Linked DNA regions of Macaca mulatta. The protein of the gene in region 2 interacts with the protein of the main gene of each other region in a pairwise test. Links are inferred from orthologs where the notes say so. Each region holds a gene or a part of one and is shown on either strand. Other genes may lie near its edges.

Region 1 (8,094 bases), on a different chromosome or scaffold from region 2:
TATGATCATATCCATTTTATACATAAGGAAAATGAGACTGAAAGAGTTCACACTGTCAGTGTAAGTAGCAGAGTCAGGATTTGAATCAAACTCTGTTCAGCACCAGGGAGAATTTTCTGGCGTCTAAAAACATTAGTGAGGGACTGAGGGAGGAGAAAGTTTTTAAAAGTAAGATAACTACTTGTCTGTGTGCAAGCTGAGGTGGAAGAAGGGCTTCATGGAAACCCTCTCTGATGAAATCATCCCTCGTTTTTGAACAGCAATTTCGGCTTTTCCAGTTTCTGTGTGCGCTGTTGGTGCAGGTGTGTTACTCTTCTCATTTTGCAGATGAGGAAACTGAGGCACATACGTTACATGAGAAAGTAGGAGATAAACGACTGCAACATGATATTTGGAATAAAGCGTGTCTCAGCCCCTGGGCAACCGCAGGGAGTCGCTGAGAAACAAGTTTCCCCGGGAGTAGACTCCCAGCTTGCTCAAATCCTTCCCATTCCACATCGTGTCTGGAGGGGGAAAAAAAAATCCTTCCCTCCCAGAAGCAAAGTCCCACAACTACTTAGGCTTCCCTAGAGACAGGAAAGGAAACCCAGCGGGACTACACCTTCCGACGAACTTTGCGAATCGTGCGGAACGCAGGCGCTCTGAAACGGCGTGCGCACTACGATTCCCGGCAGCCGCGGGCGGGGGCGGGACTACATTTCCCAGGGGGCAGAGGCAGGGGCGGGAGGGGGCGGGCCGCGGCTCTGCTCCCGCCCCTCCCCCGTGCTCGCGCGGAGAGGTAAACAAACCACGCGCGGGCTGCCGGTGGCACGGCGGGCGCGGCTGGCGCGGCTGGGGCGGCTGAGGCAGCGGAGAGCGCGCCGAGCCGCGGCCGGGCTGGCCCGCCCGCCTGCCGCACATGTTCCGGGACGGCGCCTCGCCGTAGCCGCCTGCGGCGCCTCCTGTCGGCCCGGGAAGGGAGTGCAGAGAGGCGCCGATCGCCACCCGCGGTGCCCATGGAGCGGGTAAGGATGATCAACGTGCAGCGTCTGCTGGAGGCTGCCGAGTTTTTGGAGCGCCGGGAGCGAGGTAATGGCTGGGCGCCGCTGCGTGAGCCCGAGCGCTACTAATCTTTATGGGGAGTGCGGTGCGGCCGGTGAGGGAGGGCACGCGTGTGAGGTGCGCGCATGTGAGGGAGAGGGTGTGCGTGCGTGTAAGCGTAGGGGAGCGCGCGTGTGAGGGGTGGGGCGTGTGGGGAGGGGAGCGGGCGTGTGAGGGGTGGGGCGTGTGAGGGAGGGGTGCCCGCGTGTGAGGGGAGGGGCGTGTGAGAGAGGGGTGCACGCGTGACGGGAGGGGCGCGCGTGTGAGGGGGGGCGTGTGAGGGAGGGGAGCGCGCGTGTGATGGGAGGGGCATGTGGGGAAGGGAGCGCGCGTGTGAGGGGAGGGGCGTGTGAGGGAGGGGTGCGCGCGTGAGGGGAGTGGCGTATGAGGGGAGGGGAACGCGCATGTGAGGGGAGGGGCGTGCGTATGTGAGGAGAGGGGTGCGCTCATGTGAGGGAAAGGGCGTGTGAGGGGAGGGGAGGGGCGTCTGCGGGTAGGGGAGCGCGCGTGTGAGCGAGGGGTGCGCGCGTGTGAGGGGAGGGACGTGTGAGGGAAGCGCGCATGAGGGGAGGGGCGTGCGCATGTGTGAGGGGAGGGACGTGTGAGGGGAGGGGCGCGCGGGTGTGAGGGGAGGGGCGCGCATGTGTGAGCGGAGGGGTGCGTGCATGTGAGGGGAGGGGTGCGAGCATGGGGGGTCGAGCATGTGAGGCGAGGGGCGCGCGCATGTGAGGGGAGGGGTGCGCGGGTGTGAGGGGAGGGGCGTGCGTGTGTAGGGAGGGGCGTGTGAGGGGAGGGCCATGCGTGTGTGTGAGGGCAGGGGTGCGCACAAGTGGGGAGGGGCATCTGAGGAGAGGGGCTCGCGCGTGTGCGAGGAGGGGCGTGTGCGGGGAGGGTCGCGCGTGAGGGTGCGCGCGTGGGAGGGATGGTGCGGGGGAAGGGGCGTGTGCGGGAAGGGACGTGTGCGGGAAGGGGCGTGCGCGTGTGGGAGGGGCGCGCGTGCGTGGGAAGCTCGCGCGCGTGAGGTGCGCGTGGGGAAGTGTGTGTGCTGAGATCGTGAGTGGAGGCGTGTGTGAGAGATCGTGCAGGTGCGGGGGGAGGTGCGAGGGTGCGCCCGGAGGGTGGGGCTGTGGGTGTGCGGGGAGCGGGAAGGAGACGGGCGGAGGGGAGTTGGAGAGAGGACGGTCCGGGACTGGAGAGAGGGTGACCATGGAGAAACCAGCAGGGCCTGGAGTGGGAGAGGGTGCTGGGAGTTAAGAAGAAGGAGGAACGCGGATGCTGGGGGTGTCTGGGGAAAGCCGGTGGAGAGTGGGCAGAGGACTGGCAGCGTGCGGAAGAGGCCTCTGAATACCTGCGGGGTGATGAGATAGGGCCCCTTTGGCGGTGGCAGCCCAAGGGACTGTGGAGATGGGGCAGGAAGAGCAGGAACTCGGAGATTGTTGTCAAGAGAGAAAATGTCTCTGTAAGACTTGTTCGAAGTACGCGAAAATATTGGGCTTAAAAGAGACTCTTTAGAACAGAGAGAGTTGAAAGTAAAGGGGAATTTTTGAGTCAAGTAAAATCAATGAAGCGAATGGTAACTGGTCAAAAAATGTTCTAAAGCATCTGAAATCTCAAAAAAAAATTTTGGGGAGAGAAGGATTTTGGAAAAGGGGGATAAATTATTTGGTTTAGAGGAGGTATCAAAACACCTTCCAGCTGATGGGGTGTCACAGGATTGATGTCCAGGCGAGGGACATTAATCTTCTAACCAAAAAGAGTGGAAACATTGTACCTTTTTTTTTGCTTTCAAAAACCTGTTACTGCAAAGACCTTGGATTTGTGGTTCAATGGATTTGGGTACTATATTCTTCTTACTATACCTTTTTTTCTTGCTCTCTTCAGAGTGTGAACATGGCTACGCCTCTTCATTCCCGTCCATGCCAAGCCCCCGACTGCAGCATTCAAAGCCCCCACGGAGGTTGAGCCGGGCACAGAAACACAGCAGCGGGAGCAGCAACACCAGCACTGCCAACAGGTAGCAAGCTGGGAACGCTTAGAAGAGGGAACTGGAGGGAAGGAGCACATTTCTCCTGTAATCCCAAGTCTGGAGGAGCAGCACTTGATGGGTTTCTTTACTACTACCCTGGGGTGGGGATTTGGCCCTTTAATAAAGTCTAGAAATCATAACCTGGTTTTGCATGGAAGGGAAGGAATAGAATCTGGAAAGACAACCAAAGACGTTCTTGCTGGGATTATTAAGATGGCTATGACTGAGAGGACAGTAAGTTGAGAAACTTGAGAAACTTGGCAGCATGTGTCCATGCATGCAGCCACCTGCTAAAAGTAATTGTGGGGTGGCTTTTAATAATCTGGTCAAGTTTAGGACAGTCCAAGAAGGTTAAAAAAAAATCAGAAATAGGTCTGGCAGGATATAAAGCAGAATCAAGGGCTTTGTTAAAGGAATAAAAATATTTAGGTAGAATTGGTAGTGAGCAGGTATGGTTATTTGTTTAAGGAGGAAAGGGAAGACCGTACTATGAAAGTTTTGCCTCTTTAAATAAGATCCGATTGGTTGGTGGGCTCTAAAAGCAAAAATGAAAAAAAAAATCTGCTTATCTTTCAAGCAGAATAGATCTTTTAGAATATACTTGTCTAGATGTACTTGGAAAGGACGGGCCTAGTGGCTCTCACCTGTAATTCCAGCACTTTGGGAGGCTGAGGTGGGAGGATTGCTTGAGCTTAGGAGTTCAAGACCAACCTGGATGACATAGTGAAATTTTGTCTCAAAAAGAGAAAAAAATAGACGTACTAAGATGTAGCTGACTTCCATTTTTGAAAACTCTGAGTAGTATCTGGCTGTCTCTTCAGTGTTTTTATTCTGGGGAGCCAGTAAATTCCTAGGATTCATCTCATAAGAAGTTTTCAAAAGGCCTTTCTTAACAGAAGATTAACAGATGGCTGCCTTTTCCATTGATAAGGGGAATTAAATGAGACCTTTATTTCTGTTTCCCAGAGCTTTGTCTAGAGAGTATAATAAACATTCATTTTAGGGAGGACAGAGCAATCCCTGGGTAACCAAATTTCCCTGAAGGCTTTGGGGAGCTTCAGTCAGGTGGTTGGTTAGTCATTTGGAACAGCAGATTGGGACAGAATGGGGCTCTTGATGCAGAAAGCCTGAGGCTTCTATAGATAACAATTGGAACTCATGAGGTTGGATCATCCCACTCTGTATTTCAGACATCTCCGAGGAAAAACTAGGATTCACTTTTCTCCTTTGACTTCTCCGTAGAGCTGCATGTTCCCTTTTTTAGCTACTTTTCATTAAGACTACTATATAGTTTTTAATTTCTTAGGTTATAAAAATAATTAACCATAAGCTTGATGTACTATATGTGTTATGTGTAGGTCTAGAGATTTTGTTGTAGTATGGTGGAGATGAAAATATGTGGTATGATACACAGCATTTAAAAAAATGTACATTTGCTTGCCCTTACAGTTTCAGTGTTTAAGCTATCAAGAATTAAGACCTATTCAGGAATTTATGTATGTTTCAATCCACATAGATTAAAAAAACTCTTTTTTTCAACTTGGAGACATAGTAAGAGTACACATAGGAAACCAAACCTGAGTTCTGTCATGCTGCAAGTATTTAAGCCTTTCCTATTTTCTAGAAATTAGGTATATAATTTCAGTACATTTCCCATCCCTTACTATATTCATCTGTAAAATGAGATGTATTAGATTCTCACCAAGGTCCCTCATTATCCTGAACTTCTGTGACTCTGATTTATTGACAGTTTTAGAGATTGGTTACTATGTTAGTAATTTAATATGTCTCCCATCATTGCAGATGTGACATTTTTAGGAACTCAAGGATTGTAGAGGCATAAATAAGATGCACATTCCTAGGTTTTTATCAATTACGTTACCTGTCATTAATAAGAAACTCTTAGTCATCTGTTGACTTATACTTTGCTCAGCTTGGGGTTTGGGCTAAGTGATGTTTCTCTTTCATGCTAGCATTTCTGTTAGGATTCTAATATTATGTGTGGGACCACAGTGCTAATTACTGTGTTTTAGCATAGCATGTCGGAAAATTTGTAAAACTGCAAGCATGCCATAGTGTTCTTATAGTGCCCAAAGGAGAATATGTGAACGTTAGACCACCTAAAACAAAAGAAGGTACTTTTATATGGGAATATAAGTAGCAAGAAAGAGAGAGAGAGAAATAAATAGATTTTAGAATGTATTATCAAAAGATCCACAAATGTGTGGGGTTTGGGCTGGGGCCTATGAGAGAGAACTAGTATGTTAAAATGAAAAACTAGAAATTATTTCTCCTTAGCCTCTTATTTAAAATGCCTGCTTCGTGGAATTAAGGAGAGCTGAGGTAGAAGTTCCAATACTGGGGTATTTGGACAATAGTGTTGATCCATTTCAAAGAGGGCTCTGTAGGCTTCTTCTTAATTTTAAGTTTACTGTTGGATTTTAATAGAGATTTTATTATGCTGGTTACATAAAGCAGAAAGAAGACTTACAGAAATATCCATGTGTTTATCATCTGAAACAAGGAAAGGAATAGAGTTCATAAGTATATGTGTCTTATTTTTACCTGATCAAAAAGCTACTAGTGTGGAAGTAGCTTTTATTACTATACATCGTGAACATTGATGTATGTTATAAAATGACATTTGTTTCTTTGACATCATAGCATCTTTAAGATATAATGGTGATTGACTCTTTTACCCCTGATATTCTCAGGTATTATATGGTATGCCTGACAAAAATGTTACTTTAGGCCAGGTGCAGTGGCTCACGCCTGTAATTCCAGCACTTTGGGAGGCTGAGGTAGGTGGATCACCTGAGGTCAGGAGTTTGAGACCAGCCTGGCCAACATGATGAAACCCTGTCTCTACTCAAAATACAAAAATTAGCCGGGCATAGTAGCGTGTGCCTGTAATCTCTGCTACTTGGGAGGCTGAGGCAGGATAATTCCTGGAATTTAGGAGGCGGAGCTTTCAGTGAGCCGAGATTGCGCCATTGCACTCCAGCCTGGGCCACAGAGTGAGACTCCATCCCAAAAAATAAAAAAATAAAAAGTTACTTTATAAATTTATGCTGAAAGTTAACTCCGAATACTATAAATTCCTATTCCCCTTTCCCCCATGCCTTAAAATCTTATTTTCACAGAAGTACAAAGGAGAGAAAATAAATGATATAATGTGATATTACAGATATGTTCCTTGCAAATACCAGTAATTTTATCATTTGGGATGGTTCTGATAGTTGGAAGTGGGACCTATAATATATAATTATTTTTAAAATAAATGCTTGATTTTACTGTGGTCTTGGTCACAGCCTTCTGGCACACTTCCAAAAATCAACATTGCTAAGATGTTACTGCTGTTAGAGAATGTGGCTGCAATAGCTATCTGGCTCTTTGGGGAGCATCAGATAAGCTCAGATTCTAGCTTATTTACTATTTGGTATCACAGGTGAAAAAATCTCAAGGTCTGTCATCCTTAAAACTCTACTAAATAAGCCATGGCTGCAGTGTAACACTGATTTCTTCCTAAATATCTCTTCAATCGGCCTTCTTTCCTGTTATCTTCATTACTGTCCTCCTAATCTCAGCTACCATCATCTCTTACCTGGACGACTGCAGTAACTTATTACCTGGTGTCCTTGCAACCACAGTTCTTTTTTTTTTTTGTTTTGCTCTGTCACCTAGGCTGGAGTGCAGTGGTGTGATCTCGGCTCACTGCAAGCTCTGACTCCCGGGTTCACGCCATTCTCCTGCCTCAGCCTCCCGTGTAGCTTGGACAAAGGTGTCCGCCACCACGCCTGGCTAATTTTTTGTATTGTTAGTAGAGACAGGGTTTCACTGTGTTAGCCAGGATGGTCTCAATTTCCTGACCTCATGATCCTCCCGCCTCGGCCTCCCAAAGTGCTGGGATTACAGGCATAAGCCACTGTGCCCGGCCAGTTCTTATGAATTATATTGGTCAACCTTCTTTGGATACACGTTTTCTTCTACCTCAAGATCTTTGCATACATTCTGTTCCCTGCCGGAAATCATTTTTCCTCCCCCTTTGTTCTCTCTGTTGAACAACACTTTTCCTTCAGCTCGATCATAAGTTCCTCAGGAATGTTTCCTCATCTGTCATAGTAGTAGATCAGGTCTTCACATACTTCATGGCACCCCTATTTTTCCTTCATAGTGTTCATCACGTTTATAGAAATACTGTTATCCAATTCTTTCTTAAATTCGTATCCTATTCACTGGATTAAAAACACTGTGAGGCGGGCAGGGATTGAGTCTCTTCTGCTTCAACATTTATCCCTAGTACTTACCACAGTGCCCCGTACATAGTATGTGTTTCTTAAAGAATGGAAGGTTTTCAAACTCCAAGTAGACTGTCTTAAATTGAGTTTCTTTTTTGTGCTGAGTACCATATTAGACTTGAAGGAAGGATGATAGAACCCCTGCTTTGGCAAACTCTAATTACTTTGTGTTCTAAGGGATGTTAATGATACATTTGGAAAAACAGTATGTAGTATTTAAAGAATAAAAATCTCTAAACTGTCAATTCTTTTAAACAAGTAGGCTACAGAATGCCACAATTTTGAAGAACGTTCAGTGTCATCCTGTTTCGTGAAAATAAAATAATATAAAAACTTGCGTATTGAAAGAACCAGAAGTCTGTCAAATATTGGCAATAAATATTCGTATGAGCCTGTGACACGCACATAGTAATTGCATTGTTTTAAGGTAATCTGGGAAGTAGTAAATAGCCAATTTATGCTTTAATTTCAAGTTGATATATTTCTTCTCTTTAGTGTCCTATAGATACTAAAGAATCTCATAACAGCAGTATTTCAGTTCCACCTTCTAAGATTGAGGACACTAAAAAACAACTTTTCTGTTGCTTATAAGGCTTTAGTTTAATTTTTCTTAAACTATAGAATAAAGAAATGTTTTAGTCTTATTTTAGATAGAATTATTGTGTTGTTACATTTTTAGCTTTGCATCCT
Region 2 (7,179 bases):
ACACTTTTACCTACTACTCCACAAAACAGAAGTAGAATGCCATTGGATGTCAAATGGATTTTTCCCCATCATTCTGTGACATCTTTATGCCATCCCACTTTCAGGAAGTCAACTTGCTTCGTGGACAGCTTGGCGACCGCCTCAGTGTGGAGCTGGACACTGCCCCCACCCTTGACCTCAACAGGGTCCTGGATGAGATGCGCTGTCAGTATGAAACGGTGCTTGCCAACAATCGCAGAGAAGCCGAAGAATGGTTTGCTGTTCAGGTCAGCACCCAGATCGAAAAAATGGCAAGGTTACAGACTTCCGCCTTTTGTGAATTCTCTAATGGTGCCTGTGTTTCAGACAGAAGAGCTGAATCAGCAGCAACTGTCCAGTGCGGAGCAGCTGCAGGGCTGCCAGACGGAGATCTTGGAATTGAAACGCACAGCCAATGCTCTGGAAATTGAGCTCCAAGCACAGCAAAGCCTGGTGCGTGAGGCAAAGGCAGTGTCCGTTATGTCACTGATAAGTCAGGCTCTGAGATGTTAAGCCCTCTTCCATATCCAGGGATCACATTTCCTTGCCTTTCCCAAGTACTGCCGTTTACCCAGTATTAATAGAAGCAGAAGTGACAGGTCCACAGCTTGTGTTGTCCCTCTAAGATGCCTTACCTTCACTCCTGGGCTTGAGTCTGATGCTGCAGCAGCCTCCAGAGACAGGGAGGGAGAAGCAGAGCGAGAGAAACCTCCAGGCCATGGTCACTTAAGCATTCCAGCAGGTTTTAATTCTCATTTGATTCAGGCCAGTTTTCCAGGCTCACTGTTATATCTAAAACAAAGAATCATTTTCAAACATTTCATCCTACAGTTTCCCTACAGGATCTACACTTCAACCTGATCCTTCACTGTACCCCACCCCACTCAAGCAACAAGAACACCATGCGTCCAAGATGACATGAACCAGTTCTGGTCAAGCACCACTGTGTGCATGTCATTAGATCCTGCGGAGAATACCTAGGAGAACAATAGCTGAGCATTCATCCAGTGAGAGGCACTATGCTCATTTAAGCCTCACAGTAACTTCACGGGATAGATACCTTTATCCCATGACACAGATAAGGAAAACTGAGACTCAGATTAAGTAACCTGCAAAGGATGCAATTCTAAGAGGCAAACTTGGAAGCTGAGTTCAGCCAGTTGAATCCCAGAGCCTCTTCTCTCTCTCTTTTTAAATTTATTTTTATTGATATACAATATTTGTAAATATTTATGGAGTAGATGTGCTATTTTGTAACATGCATAGAATGTGTAACGATCAAGTCAGGATATTTACAGCATCCATCACCTCAAGTATTTATCATTTCTACGTGTTGGGAGCATTTCAAGCCCACTCTTCTAGCTATTTTGAAATGCACAGTGTATTGTTGTTAACTGTAGTCACCCTTCTCTGCTGTCCAACATGAAAACGTATTCCTTCTGTCTAGCTGTATGTTTGCACCCATTAACCAACCTCTCTTCATCCCCTTACCACACACATGCCCTTCCCAGCCTCTGGTATCCAGAGCCTCTTCTCCTAACAGCACTATACTACCCCTCCCTGCCAAGAGCCCAAACTCAATCTTTCCTCTCATATGCTGTTGATAGTCCTTAAGCTTCACAAATAAGTCATGTATTGCTGTAGTCATAGTGGTGGTAGTGATAGCTGACATGTAGAACAGTGGCAGTACGGCTGGCACTGTTCTAAATGCTTTACACATATTAACTCTTAATCTTCACAACCCTCTAATGAGACAAATACTTTGCATATAGAGAATAAAACTGAGACTCACAGAAGCTAAATAATTTGCCAGTGGTCACATAGCTAGAAAAGGGTAAGCAAGGATTTGAAAATAGGCACTCTGGCCCGAGAGACTGCACTTCATGGTCCTTTGGACAATGTTTCCTCCTGCAGACAGAATCTCTGGAATGCACCGTGGCAGAAACCGAGGCCCAGTACAGCTCCCAGCTGGCCCAGATTCAGTGCCTGATCGATAACGTGGAGAACCAGCTGGCCGAGATCCGCTGCGACCTGGAGCGACAGAACCAGGAGTACCAGGTGCTCCTGGACGTGAAGGCCCGGCTGGAGGGCGAGATCAACACGTATCGGGGCCTGCTGGACAGTGAGGACAGCAGGCAAGTTCCACAGTTACTCATGATATCCCCCAGAGTCACAAAGAGGCTGATGTAAAAGAATCCTGTTTCCCCAAGGTCTGGACAAGTTCAAACCTCCCCAATGTGCTCAGGGATCTTCTTAAAAGAGGGCTGAACAGTGGCTGAGGTTAAGCACATGACACTAGAGATATTTTTAAAATATTATAAAGGCAGATTAATTATTAGTGTAACATTTCATACTGGCATCTCCCTTTGTTCCTGTTTTCCACTAAAGGAAAATCAGGAATAGGCCTGAGATAACATTTGCAAAATCAAGAAAAAATATAAAATTCTATTCAACTGCCACTGCTACAGTGAACATGAAGTGGCAATTCTGGGTGCGGAGAAGAAACAGGCTTCAGTCAATGCTATTGTGCAGAGTTTTTTTCAGAACATAATTTGTGGACAAACTTTGACATGGTTTGTCTGAGTTTCCATTTTATCAAGATTCCCTTGCTAAGCTTGGTTTAACATCAATTTTTCCCCAGGCTTTCCTGTAACCCATGTTCGACCACATGCACCTCGAGCAACACTTGTGAGCCATGCTCAGCCTATGTCATCTGCACGGTTGAAAACTGCTGTTTGTGAATGTTAAGGACAGCAGGTAGAGGAATCAAAGCCGGCAGCATCCTAGAAAGGAGATGGGGCTTCAACAGGGGCATCCAAACAGGAATCACAAATCCAGGGGACGCTCATATCCTGGAACTGCCCTCCAGGTATCCTCAGTCTTTCTGCTTTACTATTTCCTCTCCTTCCGGCTTATTTGTGGTATGCTGGGAGCCCATAAAGTGTTCTTGCTCATCTCCAAATAAAACATGTTTTACTCCTTTCACATGGTAAATATAGCTCTATGGCTGATTAGTGTTGATAGAATATTCATTTTATGGCAAGAGAATCATCTAAACCCATAACCATAGTTTCAACATACAAAAACCCAGGTTGAAAATATTTTTTAACTCCTCAAATACAAACACATTAATGAACCCATGCAAAATGTCATATATCTTAGAAAACAGTTGTGTGTATCTTTCTGAGAAAAAAATTAGGAATAGAATAATAAATTGTATTTTTTTATTATAAAAGTACTAGATTCTCTTTTCTGTAATTTGGCTGATTAAAAGGGAAAAGGTCACTTATGATTTCATCTTGCAAACAGCCATAGTCAATATTTTGGGGTACTTTCTTCTGGTTTTCTTTCTTATGATAGATTTTTCCACACAACTATAATCATACTAACATATGCACACACTTGTGTAATCTTTCTTTCATTTATGTCATCTAAGCATTTTTAATTCTAATCAAAACATAAGATTGTATTGTAGCCATTTTTTGTTTGTTTGTTTGTTTTGTTTTTTAATTTGAGGCAAAGTCTCCCTGTGTCGCCCAGGCTGGAGTGCAGTCGCGCTATCTCGGCTCACTGCAACCTCCACCTCCCAGGTTCAAGCGGTTCTCCTGCCTCAGCCTCCCGAGTAGCTGGGACTGCAGGTGCATGCCACCACGCCAGGCTAATTTTTCGTATTTTTTTTTTTTTTTTTTTTTAGTAGAGACAGGGTTTCACCATGTTAGCCAGGATGGTCTCGATCTCCTGACCTTGTGATCAAGGTCCTTGTGATCCGCCCACCTCAGCCTCCCAAAGTGCTGGGATTACAGGCATGAGCCACCGCACCCAGCCTGTAGCCATCATTTTAATGGTTGCATAATGTACCATAAGGTGCATTGATCTGTTATTGGACATTTAGGTTATAAGAATAATTATTCTCATACATTTAAGAGACAAGGTAGAGAACTTCCAGAATGATTCTATTTCCATATTCCTCCTCCTAAAAACCCTGGAAATTACATATCGAATAAACATAAGAAGACTCTGAAAGGTAGAAGAAGAAGCCAAACCACCTAAAGATATTGAGACCCCAGGAGTGACACTGTGGTGGGCTCCCTGGATTAACTCTTTATCTCATAAATCCCAGAGTGGGAGCTGGACAAACCAACAACCAGAAACACCAATAGGTGCAGACAAAACAAACAAACCAGAAGAGCTTGCTCTGCTTAAAGAACCAAAAAAGAGGCAGCCTAGAAAGGCAGAAAACCTTTAGACAACAACCACTCAACTCAGCCAAACACCACCGAAAATACCATTTTGCCCACCCATATCCACACCAGAAAAGGCCAGGGAGGGAGTCCAGTCTTCTATCCTTCACAGGCTGTAACAAGGCACTCAAACTTCCCCACTGGGGTGGAGTCAGGGAAAGGTAAGTGAGAGATCCAGGACTTTCATTCCTGCTAAGAGACATGGAAGCACCCCCGCCCCACCACCATGGTGTCAGTGGAGACCACACGGGAAGCCTGGACTTAACTCTACAGGCTGCAGTGAGGCTCTTCTTTTCTCCTCTGGGGTTTAGTGTCACAGGAGGCCTACTGGACAGTCAGGACTCTCTCCCTCCTCCAGCAGTACCAAGGCCACCCCCCATGCAGTGTCAGCTGCATGGGAGCAATAACAAGATATTCTTGCCCCTCCTGGCCCGGGTGGTATCAGCAGAGGCCAGATAAGAGTCTAAAATCCTCCCTCCCAGCCGTGATGAGGGGGGCTCTCCCCTTGGGTGTCAATAGGGGCAAAGTGGAGAGAACCTCTATTTCTAATCCCACCTGGTAGGAATGAAGCAGTGTCCCCCGTCCCCTACCAAAACAGTGTCAGAGGAGACCTGCCAGAACAGAAGATTAAATAATATCCTGAATCTCATAACATAATGCCCCAATGTCCAGGTTTCAATCAACAATTACTCTTCATACCAAGGATCATAAAATCTCAACTTACATGAAAAAAGATGATCAACAAATTCCAACATCAAGAGGAAAAAGATGTTAGAATGAACGGACAAGGGTTTTTAACTTTTTATTTTTTATTTTTCTGGGTACATAGATGTATATATTTATGGGGTACATGAGATGATTTGATACAGGCATGCAATGCGTAATAATCACATCATGAAGAATGGGGTGTCCATCCCCTCAAGCATGCATCTTTGGTGTTACAAACATCCAGTTATACTCTTTTACTTATTGACAAGCATTTTTAAACAGTCATCACAAAAATGCTTCAATAAGCAATGCTTCAATAAACTCTTATAACAAATGCAAAAACTGAAAAGTCTCAGTGAAGAAGAAGATGGAAAGACTCCAGTGGAAATTTCAGAACTGAAACATACCATAGAACCAAAATAGAAACCTCAGTGCAGATGGGCTTAACAGCAGAACAGACAGGCCAGACAGGAAAACATCAGGGAATTTGATGATACAATAATAGACATCATCTGACCTGAAAAACAGGAAAAAAAATAGTGTTAAAAAGATAGAGTCGGCCAGGCGCGGTGGCTCACGCCTGTAATCCCAGCACTTTGGGAGCCGAGGTGGGCGGATCACGAGGTCAGGAGATCGAGACCATCCTGGCTAACACGGTGAAACCCCATCTCTACTAAAAAATACAAAAAACTAGCCGGGCGAGGTGGCGGGTGCCTGTAGTCCCAGCTACTTGGGAGGCTGAGGCAGGAGAATGGTGTGAACCCAGTAGGCGGAGCTTGCAGTGAGCTGAGATCCAGCCACTGCACTCCAGCCGGGGAGACAGAGCGAGACTCCGTCTCAAAAAAAAAAAAAAAAAAAAAAAGATAGAGTCTCAGGGAACTTTATGGCTATATCAAATGATCTAACATTCATGTCAACGGAGTTCTGTAAGGGAGGAGAAAAAGTGAGGCCAAAAACATTTGAAGGAATAAACACTGAAAATTTTACAAATATGGCAAAAGACAAAAACCTACAGATTCCAGAAACCAAGCAAACCCCAAAAATTATAAACCCAAAGAAATCTACACCAGGAAATATCATATTCAAACTTTTGAATACTAAAGACAAAACAAATTATGAAAGCAGTGAGAGAGAAATGACACCTTACCAATAGAAGAAAACAATTTAATTGATGGCAGGTCTGTCACCATAAACCATGGAAGCCAATATGAAGTAGGACGACAGTTTTCAAATGCTAAAAGAAAAAAAAAAAAAAAAAAAACTGTCGGCCAGGCGCAGTGACTGACACCTGTAATCCCAGCACTTTGGGAGGCCAAGGAAGATGGATCAAAAGGTCAAGAGATCGAGACCATCCTGGCCAACATGGTGAAACCCTGTCTCTACCAAAAATACAAAAAATAGCTGGGCATGATGGCGGGCACCTGTAATCCCAGCTACTCGGGAGGCTGAGGCAGGAGAATCGCTTGAACCCAGGAGGCGGAGGTTGCAGTGAGCAGAGATCATGCCTCTGCACTCCAGCCTGGGTGACAGAGCAAGACAGAAAAAAAGGAAGGCAGGAAGGAAGGCAGGCAGGAAGGAAGGAAGGAAGGAAGGAAGGGAAGGAGGGAGGGAAAGAAGGAGAGGAAAGAAAAAAGAAGGAAGGAAGGAAGGAAGGAAGGAAGGAAGGAAGGAAGGAAGGAAAGAAAGAAAGAAAGAAAGAAAGAAAGAAAGAAAGAAAGAAAGAAAGAAAGAAAGAAAGAAAGAAAGAAAGAAGGGAGGGAGGGAGGGAGGGAAAGGAGGGAGGGAAAGGAGGGAGGGAAAGAGAAAGAAAGAGAAAAAGAAAGAAAGAAAGAAAGAAAGAAAGAAAGAAAGAAAGAGAAAGAAAAGAAAGAGAGAGAGAGAGAGGGAGGGAGGGAGGGAAGGAGGGAGGGAGGGAGGGAGGGAAAGAAAGAAAAAAGAAGAGAAGAAGGAAGGAAGGACGGAAGAAAGAAAAAGGAAAGAAGGGAGGAAGGGAGGGAGGGAGGGAGGGAGGAAGGAAGGAAGGAAAAGAAAGAACGAATGAATGAACAAAAGAAAGAAGGAAAGAAAGAAAGAAAAGAAGAGAGGAAGGAAGGAAGGGAGGGAGGGAGGAGGAAAGAAAGAAAGAAAAGAAGAGAGGAAGGAAGAAGGGAGGGAGGGAGGAGGAAAGAAAGAAAGAAAAGAGAAAGAAAGAAAGAAAGAAAGAAAGAAAGAA
Region 3 (8,194 bases), on a different chromosome or scaffold from region 2:
GTACACAGAAAATAATACTATTTACTTTCTGTGGATACATATGTACACAGCACATGAAAATAAAGAAAAAGATCTGGAAGATAAACACACTCGGGTCATAAGAACAGCTAACTTCTGGAGAGAGAGGAGGAAGCCAGGGTTGGTAAAAATGTCATTAGTGGCCGGGCGCGGTGGCTCACGCCTGTAATCCCAGCACTTTGAGAGGCTGAGGCCACCGGATCATGAGGTCAAGAGATTGAGACCATCCTAGCCAACATTGTGAAACCTGTCTCTACTAAAAATACAAAAATTAGCTGGGCTTGGTGGTGCATGCCCGTAGTCCCAACTACTCAGGAGGCTGAGGCAGGAGAATCACTTGAACCCGGGAGGGTGAGGTTGCAGTGAGCCGAGATGGTGCCACTGCACTCCAGCCTGGAGGCAGAGCAAGACTCCATCTCAAAAAAAAAAAAAAAGTCATTAGGGTTATCCATTCACAAAATCTCTTTTCTTCGCCAAACTTGTCAGGCTTCTGAAACTCCTCCTAGGGCTATTGGTGTACTTCCTTGTAAGATCTAATGTTAGCAAAGAACTCTAAGTCCTTTAGCAGGAACTCCCCCATCCTTGATATCTGACCATCTTTAATACCTGGTCAGGGTCCTCATCCTCCACCATCCCACAGGTGATATCTGATCACCCTGACCTGTCTTCAGCAAGAATCCCATTAGGTTGACTTAGCCAGAATCCCCCTTATGCCTGATGGTTCCCCTTAGTAATTTTCAATCCATTGGCATCCCAAACTCCAAAAAAATTTCCTTGACTATAAATTCCCACTTGCCCATTCTGTATTTAGAGTTGAGCCCAATCTCTCGTCCCTACAGCAAGACTTCATTGCAGTGGTTTACCTTTCCTGCTCCTGAATAAGGTCTCCCTTACCATGCTTTAACAAGTATCACTGAATAATTTTTTCTTTAACACTGTAATGCAGCAAATGTTTAGAAGAACATGTTTATGTATTATTTATGCACTTAATACTAATATTTTTAAATATTCAATGAGATTTACAGAGAAAAACATTTGGTACCCAGTAGGCTTTCATGAAATGTATATTTCTCTTTGTATTGGGTAATTTTATGTGTCAACTTGACTAGCTAAGGGATGCCCAGATAACAGGTAAAACATTATTAGTAGGTGTGTCTGTGAGGGTGTTTCTGGCCAATATGGTGAAACCCGGTCTCCACTAAAAATACAAAAAAAAAAAAAAAAAAAAAAAAATTGCCGGGCGTGATGGCGCATGCCTTGTAATCCCAGCTATTAGGGAGGCTGAGGCAGGAGAACTGGGAGGCGGAGGTTGCACAAGACTGTCTAAAAAAAAAAGAGAGATTACATTTGAATCAGTAGACTAAGAAAATCACTCTCACCAATATGCGTAGGCACCATCCAATCCATTGAGGGCCCAAACAGAATAAAAAGGCAGAGGAAGAGTAAATTCACCTCTCTCTTCTTGAGCTGGGATATCATCTCCTCCTGCTTTCTGGCCTTCAGACACCAGCACCTCAATCTCTTTCCGGTTCTCAGGCCTTCAGCTTCAGACTGAATTATACCACCAGCTTCCTTGGTTCTCCAGCTTGCAGTTAGCAGATGTCGGGACCTTTCAACGACCATAATCATGTGAGCCAATTCCTTATAATAAATCTCCTTTTATATGTTTATACATACCCTGTGTGAAAGGAAAACATCTTGGGCCCCCAAAATCACTAAACTAAAGGGAAAATTCAAGCTGGGAACTGCCTAGGGCAAACCTGCTTCCCCTTCTATTCAAAGTCACCCCTCTGCTCATTGAGATAAATGCATATCTGACAGCCTCCTTTGGAAGGGCTAATCAGAAACTCAAAAGAATGCAACTATTTGTCTCCTATCTACCTATGATCTGGAAGCCCCCCTCCCCGCTTGGAGTTGTCCTGCCTTCTGGGTTCACACCTATTAGTTCTATTTCGCTAATACACTCCCACTTCACCAAAAGTAACTAATCCTTTGGTTCAAACCCAGAAAACAGATCCCAGCAACGTGTCCCATGAAAACGAGGTGGCACATGGCACGTGGAGAGTGGTGACTTACAGGGTAAAAGGGACGAGAGCAAAGGAAAATGTCAGGTATGGGCAGAAAGGTCCCCAAAAGACAAAAACGAACAAGTGAGATCAGGTAAGACAGCCTGAAAGTAAAGAAATACGAAGCAACACTCAAAGGGAAAGAAAGAACAGTGATACCATAACTATTCTCTTTCTGAGCTTCTGATGTTCCATTCAGTTCATGGGCAATGTATCATTTAGTCCTCAGAGTAAACGGTATTATTATGCCCATTTTCTATGATGCACAATAGGGTTCAAAGATGGAGTGATTCGGCCGAGGCCCTGCTGCTGATGGTGAATGCAAGAGCCGGTATTCAAACCTAACGCTGCCCTTTTCTACCATGCTGCAGCGGACAATGCAAAGAAAAAAAAATATCAAGAAAAACACGTAGAGGTATCCAAATGAAAACAAACACACAAAAGATTAAAAACAGAAAAGAAAAAAGAAAACCCTTGCAGAAGGTATGCGTGTAAATGAAAGGCCCAAGATGTTAATTTATTCGCTGCAGAGTGGAGTTGGGGGCCGCGGACGGAAGCTGTGGGGTCCGAGGCTTCTTCGCACTGGGTCCTTGGGGAGTACGAAACCGCAGCCCGCGGAGGGCGCATAGAGAGGACCAAACCTCCCACAGCCTAGAAAGGCTCCAGCGCGGCAAGAAGGCGGGGCGAGCGATCGCTTCCGGTTCCGGACGCAAAGGCCCCACGTGTTCCGACCCGCTAGGCCCCGCGCGGCTCGGATCCGGCGGCGCTATTTCGGTCGGGAGTGGGTGGGAGAGAAGCCGGGGCAGGGGAGGAGCCGCTGGAGCTGTCGGAGCCGTGAGTCCTGAGTGGGCTGGGCCGGGCCGGGCTGGACCGGGCCGGACCAGATCGGGCAGAGCCGGGCAGGGCGGGGAGGAGGGGGAGGGACCGGAGACCCCGCCCCCCAGAGCTTGGGGAAATCGCCGTGTCCTGGGGAAGGGGTGGCGGCGGTGTACTGAGGGGGCCGAGACGTTGTGGTCTCTGTGTTTCCTGGTGGCCGGAGCCAGTGTCTCCGAGGACACGGATGGCGCTCCTGGCTTCCTTTCCTTTCCAGCCACCGCCCTCCGCCCCCTCCTGGGGCCTGCAGAAATGTAGTTAGTCCGTACCTCGTACCTCCTAACGCTTCCGCGCCAACTGTCCCTCCGGAACCGGGGGAAGAGTGGTCTAGGCCCCTTTATTTTCCGCAGCCTTTTCTTACCCCTGGTCATATTGCTTAAGATCGTCTCCGCGCGCTCCTTGCCCCGGCGAGCCCCATCTCCTTACACCACTAAGCCCCTCTCAGCCCCCAGCACACACTCAGATACATTCAACCATGATCTTATCACCTGTGATGATAGTAGTCCTTGGCGTCCATTTGGCCAGTGGCTTTTCAGCTGCCACTGTGACAGACCCTGAGCTTCCCCTCAAGCCAGTAACTGCTGTCTCCTCTTGCAACTTTCCTCTCCTCCCACTCCTAACAGCCAGTTTTGGCACCTCTTCTCAGCACCAGCGTTACTTTTAGCAGGGGTATACCTACTTCTTGAGTGTCTTGACTAAAAGTTTGTTAGTTTGTGTGCCATGGATAGGCTGCGTGCCTTCAAAAAGGTGTCAGTCTAATTTTTATTTTTCTAAACAATGAATGTTCTCATCTAGGCCCTTTGATAATCCTGTCTGCCTTGGGATCTGTACTGACCTCCCCAAAGGGAGACTCTTAGACCCAGCCTTTCTTAGACAACCTTGGTCCTGGGGAGCAGTGCCACATCCCAGGCTCTCACTTAGAGACTGGGCTTAGAACTGTTGCTTTTTCTCTATCCACACTCTGCAGGTGACACCCAGGGCAGCTACACTCAGAAGTCACAAGGAATGCTAGTGGAGCCCCTCATCCCTCCCAGCTTCTCTTCCAAGCTGCCCGGTGGGGCTTGATCCAGGAAGCTACTTCAGAAAGGTTGTGGGATAGCCATGGGAGGTTTGTTGGTGGGAAGCGTGTGAATGCGAGCAGTCTTGGATAACTTTTTGCTGTTACTATCTAGCATAAGAGGGTGGGCAGGGTTGGAGAGAGGACAGGAATTATTCCTCCTGGGACCAGACACCTGGGATTCATAATCTTTCACCCTTTCTCCTCCAGCTATACCCTTTTTGTACTCTGTGTATATACTATATTGCAGTAGACAATCATTCCAAGGGTACAACAAGGTTTACTACAATGTGAGGGACTCAGCCATTGCAAATTGTACAGATGAGGTAAGTTAAAGGTTTACATTTTTTTCCCCAGTAAATTTGGCACAGATTTAAAAAGTGAAACAGTTCTAGACCCCTTGCTTTTCCTGTTCTCTCACCAGCAAACCCTTTAATTTGGCCAGCAATGGCTTTCTGCATGAACGCCAGATTCACTTCATTTGCTAGGTGGTGGTTCTCAAACTTACTATAAGCGCCTGAAGGGCTTGTTAAACACATATTGCTGGGACCCAGCCCTAGAGTTTCTGGTAATAGGTCTGTGCTAGGGCTTGAGAATTTGTACTTCTAACAAGGCTCAGGTACTGATGCTGCAGATCTGGGTTCTTCACTTTGAGAACAACTACCTTTTGGCCAAATGTGATACATATTGCAGTAGGTTGGGGTTCAGAATACCTTTGAGTACTTCTGTGTTAGAAACTAGTAATCCGATCTTTTGTGGATAATCACTTAGGTCTGAATATTTTGTTCGCAAAATTAAGAAAGCGTACCTAAACAAATGCTATATGCCAACTTTGAGGTGAAGTATTGATGAGTTCTTCCCCTTGATTTTCTTAATTCTCTTGATAGGGACCTCACATTTTGATCGTATATATTACATCGGGATTCTGGGCTGTTGCTGTGAATTCCTAGTATTGCTAAAAATCCTGCTATTTCTTAACTACCTGTTAAGTTCCTCAAGGTCGGAGCTTCTGCTTTTTTTAATCTTTCTCTGCCCAGTACCTTGAATAGTGTGGGACACATAATTGACGCTCGGTAGATATTTCTGTATTGAACTCCATCCCTTGTCCTCCTCCCTTCTTGATGTTTTTCTCCACTGACCTTATGCTACACAGTAAAGCAGGGCATGATTATGCCACCTGATTACCCCCAAGAGATTGGAATCAATGCTAATGCCAAATTCCTATAGCTATCCCTGTGAATGGTTTATTACCCCGGAGCCCTGACACCTGCTGATTTCTGAATTTTCAGTGCTTCTGTAATATGTACAAGTTGGGGGAGGAAAAATAGAAAGCGTAATAAAACTCAACATGCATTTATTGAACACCTTTTCTACCAAGGGCTTGACAAAGTGGTAGGCACTGGGAATATAAAAATGACTAAGGAGACCCTTGCTCTCAAGGCCAGGGCTCACAGTGGGAGACAGACGTTAAGCCATGCTCACGCAAGAATGGCTTCTGGGATTCCTTCTTTGGATCATGATTTAGTCTTCAGTGGAAACCTGGTGCTCCTCAGCTTCCTCTGGTTCAACAGGCAGGGATCCCATCCCTTATCGTCTCCTCAAAGTTAAGGGAGCCTTGAGGAAAGCCAGAAGGAAGTCATCTAGATGTAGAACAGGGGATATCCACACAGGGTGTGTTAATGACAAAGCTAAAAACATAGTAAATGACTTTTGAATTTACTGCCGTTATGAATTATCTATAGCAACGCCTCAGGTCAGCTCTGTTGTATATGTTATTTCCAATTAAATGATGGTTACTCTGACTATCTGATTGGCATTGATCATGTTCATTGTAGGAATTGCATACATCTAGTTTAACTCTGGCTGTCAAATGAGAGCACTTGCTCTCATCAGGATTGGTGTCAGGTTTGATGTCCCCTCCTTTTCCTGCTTCAGGTTAATTTGTGATGTTCTGTTTTAAACTGAGGCATATAGGGTGACCTGCTTTATTTAGGCCAGTAACTGCTTTGGGGTAGTTTTCCTGAAGTTTAAAAAGCCTAGGTTCATGATGGAGGTTAACCAACATGACCATGATGGACAGGTGTATAAATCTGACCTCCTAAAAGTCTGTATTTGAGGCTGAGTGCAGTGGCTCACACCTGTAATCCTAACACTTTGGGAGGCCAAAGCCGGCAGATCACTTGAGCCCAGGTATTTGAGACCAGCCTGGACAACATGGCAAGACCCTGTCTCTGCAAAAAATTTAAAAATTAGCTGGGTGTGGCGGCATGTGCTGTAGTCCCAGATACTCAGGAGGCTGGGGTGGGAGGATGGCCTGAACCTGGGAGGCAGAGATTGCAGTGAGTTGTGATCTTGCCACTGCACTCCAGTCATAGCAACAGAATAAAACCCTATCTCAAAACTTAAAAATCTTTATTTGGCCCCTAGCTCTCCTCAACTCTTGAATAAATCTCTCTCAGTGTCCTAGGCTGATACATTATGGCCCAGATATTCAACAGAGATAGTGTATATCCTTGTTCCTCTCAAAACTCCTCCTCATCAGCATCAAAAAGCTGGTTCAGTTTTCTACCTTTAGATAAAGAATCAAACCAAGATTCAACATGAGCTGCTGTGACTTGTCCAAAATGACACCTCTTTACAACGTAGAGCAGGGGACAGAACACAGGTCACCCTCCCCCAAAGGCAGCTATCTACTGTCTAACATTGCCTCCTAGGCCTGCCATATATAACCATCAAAAACATTTTAGTTAAGAATAAAGTGAATTGTACAATTTTTATTTTTCATTTTTGTGTTTACATTTACTCTCAATGACATGTTTATTCCCACCTAATATCTTGAGGCTAACCACAAAATCTGCAGCATTTCCAGGCAGAAGATACTTGTGTCTTAGTGTCCGCTGACTTCCCTGTACCACCTACTACATACTTGACCTCTTTTTCTTTCTTCCTATCTTCCCTTTCTCTATACCTTATTCTCTTTCTTTGGAACCTATTGTAACAAGTTTTGAGCCATTTCTCCCCTCGCTACTCAAATATCACTTTTATGAAGGGGGAAAAAAAAAAAACTTAGGTGGCAAAAATATATTACAAAAACAGTTTTAAACATGGTCTGAAGCATACTGGTCATGTGTTAGAAGGCCAAAAGCCAGGGAATTCACTCCCTTTCATTCCTTGTGCCATCTAGGTTAAGTTTTCATAGGTCTTCTTGGTACACTGAGTTTGCCTCAGATTGTCTCCTGCCAGTTACAGGGAGTGGAGAGGGTTTTGATATATTGGTAATTAGAAGCATTGCTGATATGGTCTTCGGTGGGAGAATGTGTGTTTAAAGTTCCTTCTCATCTGTATTCCAACACTTTCATTTAATCCTACTTCATAAAGTGCCTCCAAAGCAAGGATTGTTTTTTTGGTTTAGCGTGGTTTCTTTGATATAACAATAGACAGATCAAGATTTTCCTTATGCCATCTATTTTTTTGTAATTATGATGAAGTAAAGAACTGTTTACTTGTTTATCATTTAAATCTTGCCATCTTCCCAGAAGGATTTCAAATAGCTTGAAGGAAAATGAATAAAATATATTGAGCACCTACCCTATGCCAGACTCTATGCTGAAGGATTTCTATAGGTTATTTCATTTACTCCTTAAAACAACCACATGAGATAGGTAGTATTAGTCGCATTTTTGGGGATAAGACTGAGGCTTAGGGAAATTGTGTTACAAGGCTAATGAGCAAGGTCAGGGATTCAAACCCAGTGTTCCAAGGTCCCTAACTGTTACGTGGAAAGCTTAGATAAGCGCTTGTATATAGGACAATTAAGAATAAAAGAATATCTCCATTAGAAGGATTGTACTGGGCTAATCTTTTGTTTTAAAGAATAGCAGCAGCATTGGAAAAGAGCGGTTAACAGTTTTTATTAGTCAATGTCTATTCTAGAACACTGAGAGGAGCGGTTGACAGGCTCTGGTTAGCCCTAGCAAGTAGCCATATTAAAATTCCCACATTATAGGCCTGCATTAAGGTGTAAAATAAGAATGGGGACTGGAAGGGATATAAATATCTGCTAAATATAATAATTTCAGTTCTAATCACTGTTTTCTTCTGAAGATTATTTTCCAGTAAATAGGAAGATCACTGTCTCTCCTTTAGGTTGACAGTATATGACTACAGACTTTGTCATTTA

The links.
Region 1: the proteins of KRT40 (region 2) and MXI1 interact in binary tests that used the Homo sapiens proteins (3 or more experiments, as listed by UniProt). The two-hybrid records come from large-scale screens. The link is inferred for Macaca mulatta from reciprocal best matches to the Homo sapiens genes KRT40 and MXI1.
Region 3: the proteins of KRT40 (region 2) and ZNF202 interact in binary tests that used the Homo sapiens proteins (3 or more experiments, as listed by UniProt). The two-hybrid records come from large-scale screens. The link is inferred for Macaca mulatta from reciprocal best matches to the Homo sapiens genes KRT40 and ZNF202.

What each region holds. Positions count from the first base shown.
Region 1 is NC_133414.1:122,395,927-122,404,020, forward strand, and holds part of MXI1 (max-interacting protein 1), read left to right. Parts: intron 1-780; exon of another isoform or gene 781-995; coding exon of another isoform or gene 996-1,068; intron 1,069-1,466; exon of another isoform or gene 1,467-1,589; intron 1,590-1,675; exon of another isoform or gene 1,676-1,721; coding exon of another isoform or gene 1,722-1,737; intron 1,738-1,858; exon of another isoform or gene 1,859-1,877; coding exon of another isoform or gene 1,878-1,899; intron 1,900-2,072; exon of another isoform or gene 2,073-2,555; intron 2,556-2,961; coding exon 2,962-3,094; intron 3,095-8,094. UniProt on the Homo sapiens protein: Transcriptional repressor. MXI1 binds with MAX to form a sequence-specific DNA-binding protein complex which recognizes the core sequence 5'-CAC[GA]TG-3'. MXI1 thus antagonizes MYC transcriptional activity by competing for MAX.
Region 2 is NC_133421.1:65,357,127-65,364,305, reverse strand, and holds the end of KRT40 (keratin, type I cytoskeletal 40), read left to right. Parts: intron 1-104; coding exon 105-266; intron 267-345; coding exon 346-471; intron 472-1,932; coding exon 1,933-2,153; intron 2,154-2,659; coding exon 2,660-2,759; 3' UTR 2,760-3,604; downstream 3,605-7,179. UniProt on the Homo sapiens protein: May play a role in late hair differentiation.
Region 3 is NC_133419.1:124,353,599-124,361,792, reverse strand, and holds the start of ZNF202 (zinc finger protein 202), read left to right. Parts: upstream 1-2,775; 5' UTR 2,776-2,918; intron 2,919-3,924; exon of another isoform or gene 3,925-4,065; intron 4,066-4,208; exon of another isoform or gene 4,209-4,340; intron 4,341-8,194. UniProt on the Homo sapiens protein: Transcriptional repressor that binds to elements found predominantly in genes that participate in lipid metabolism.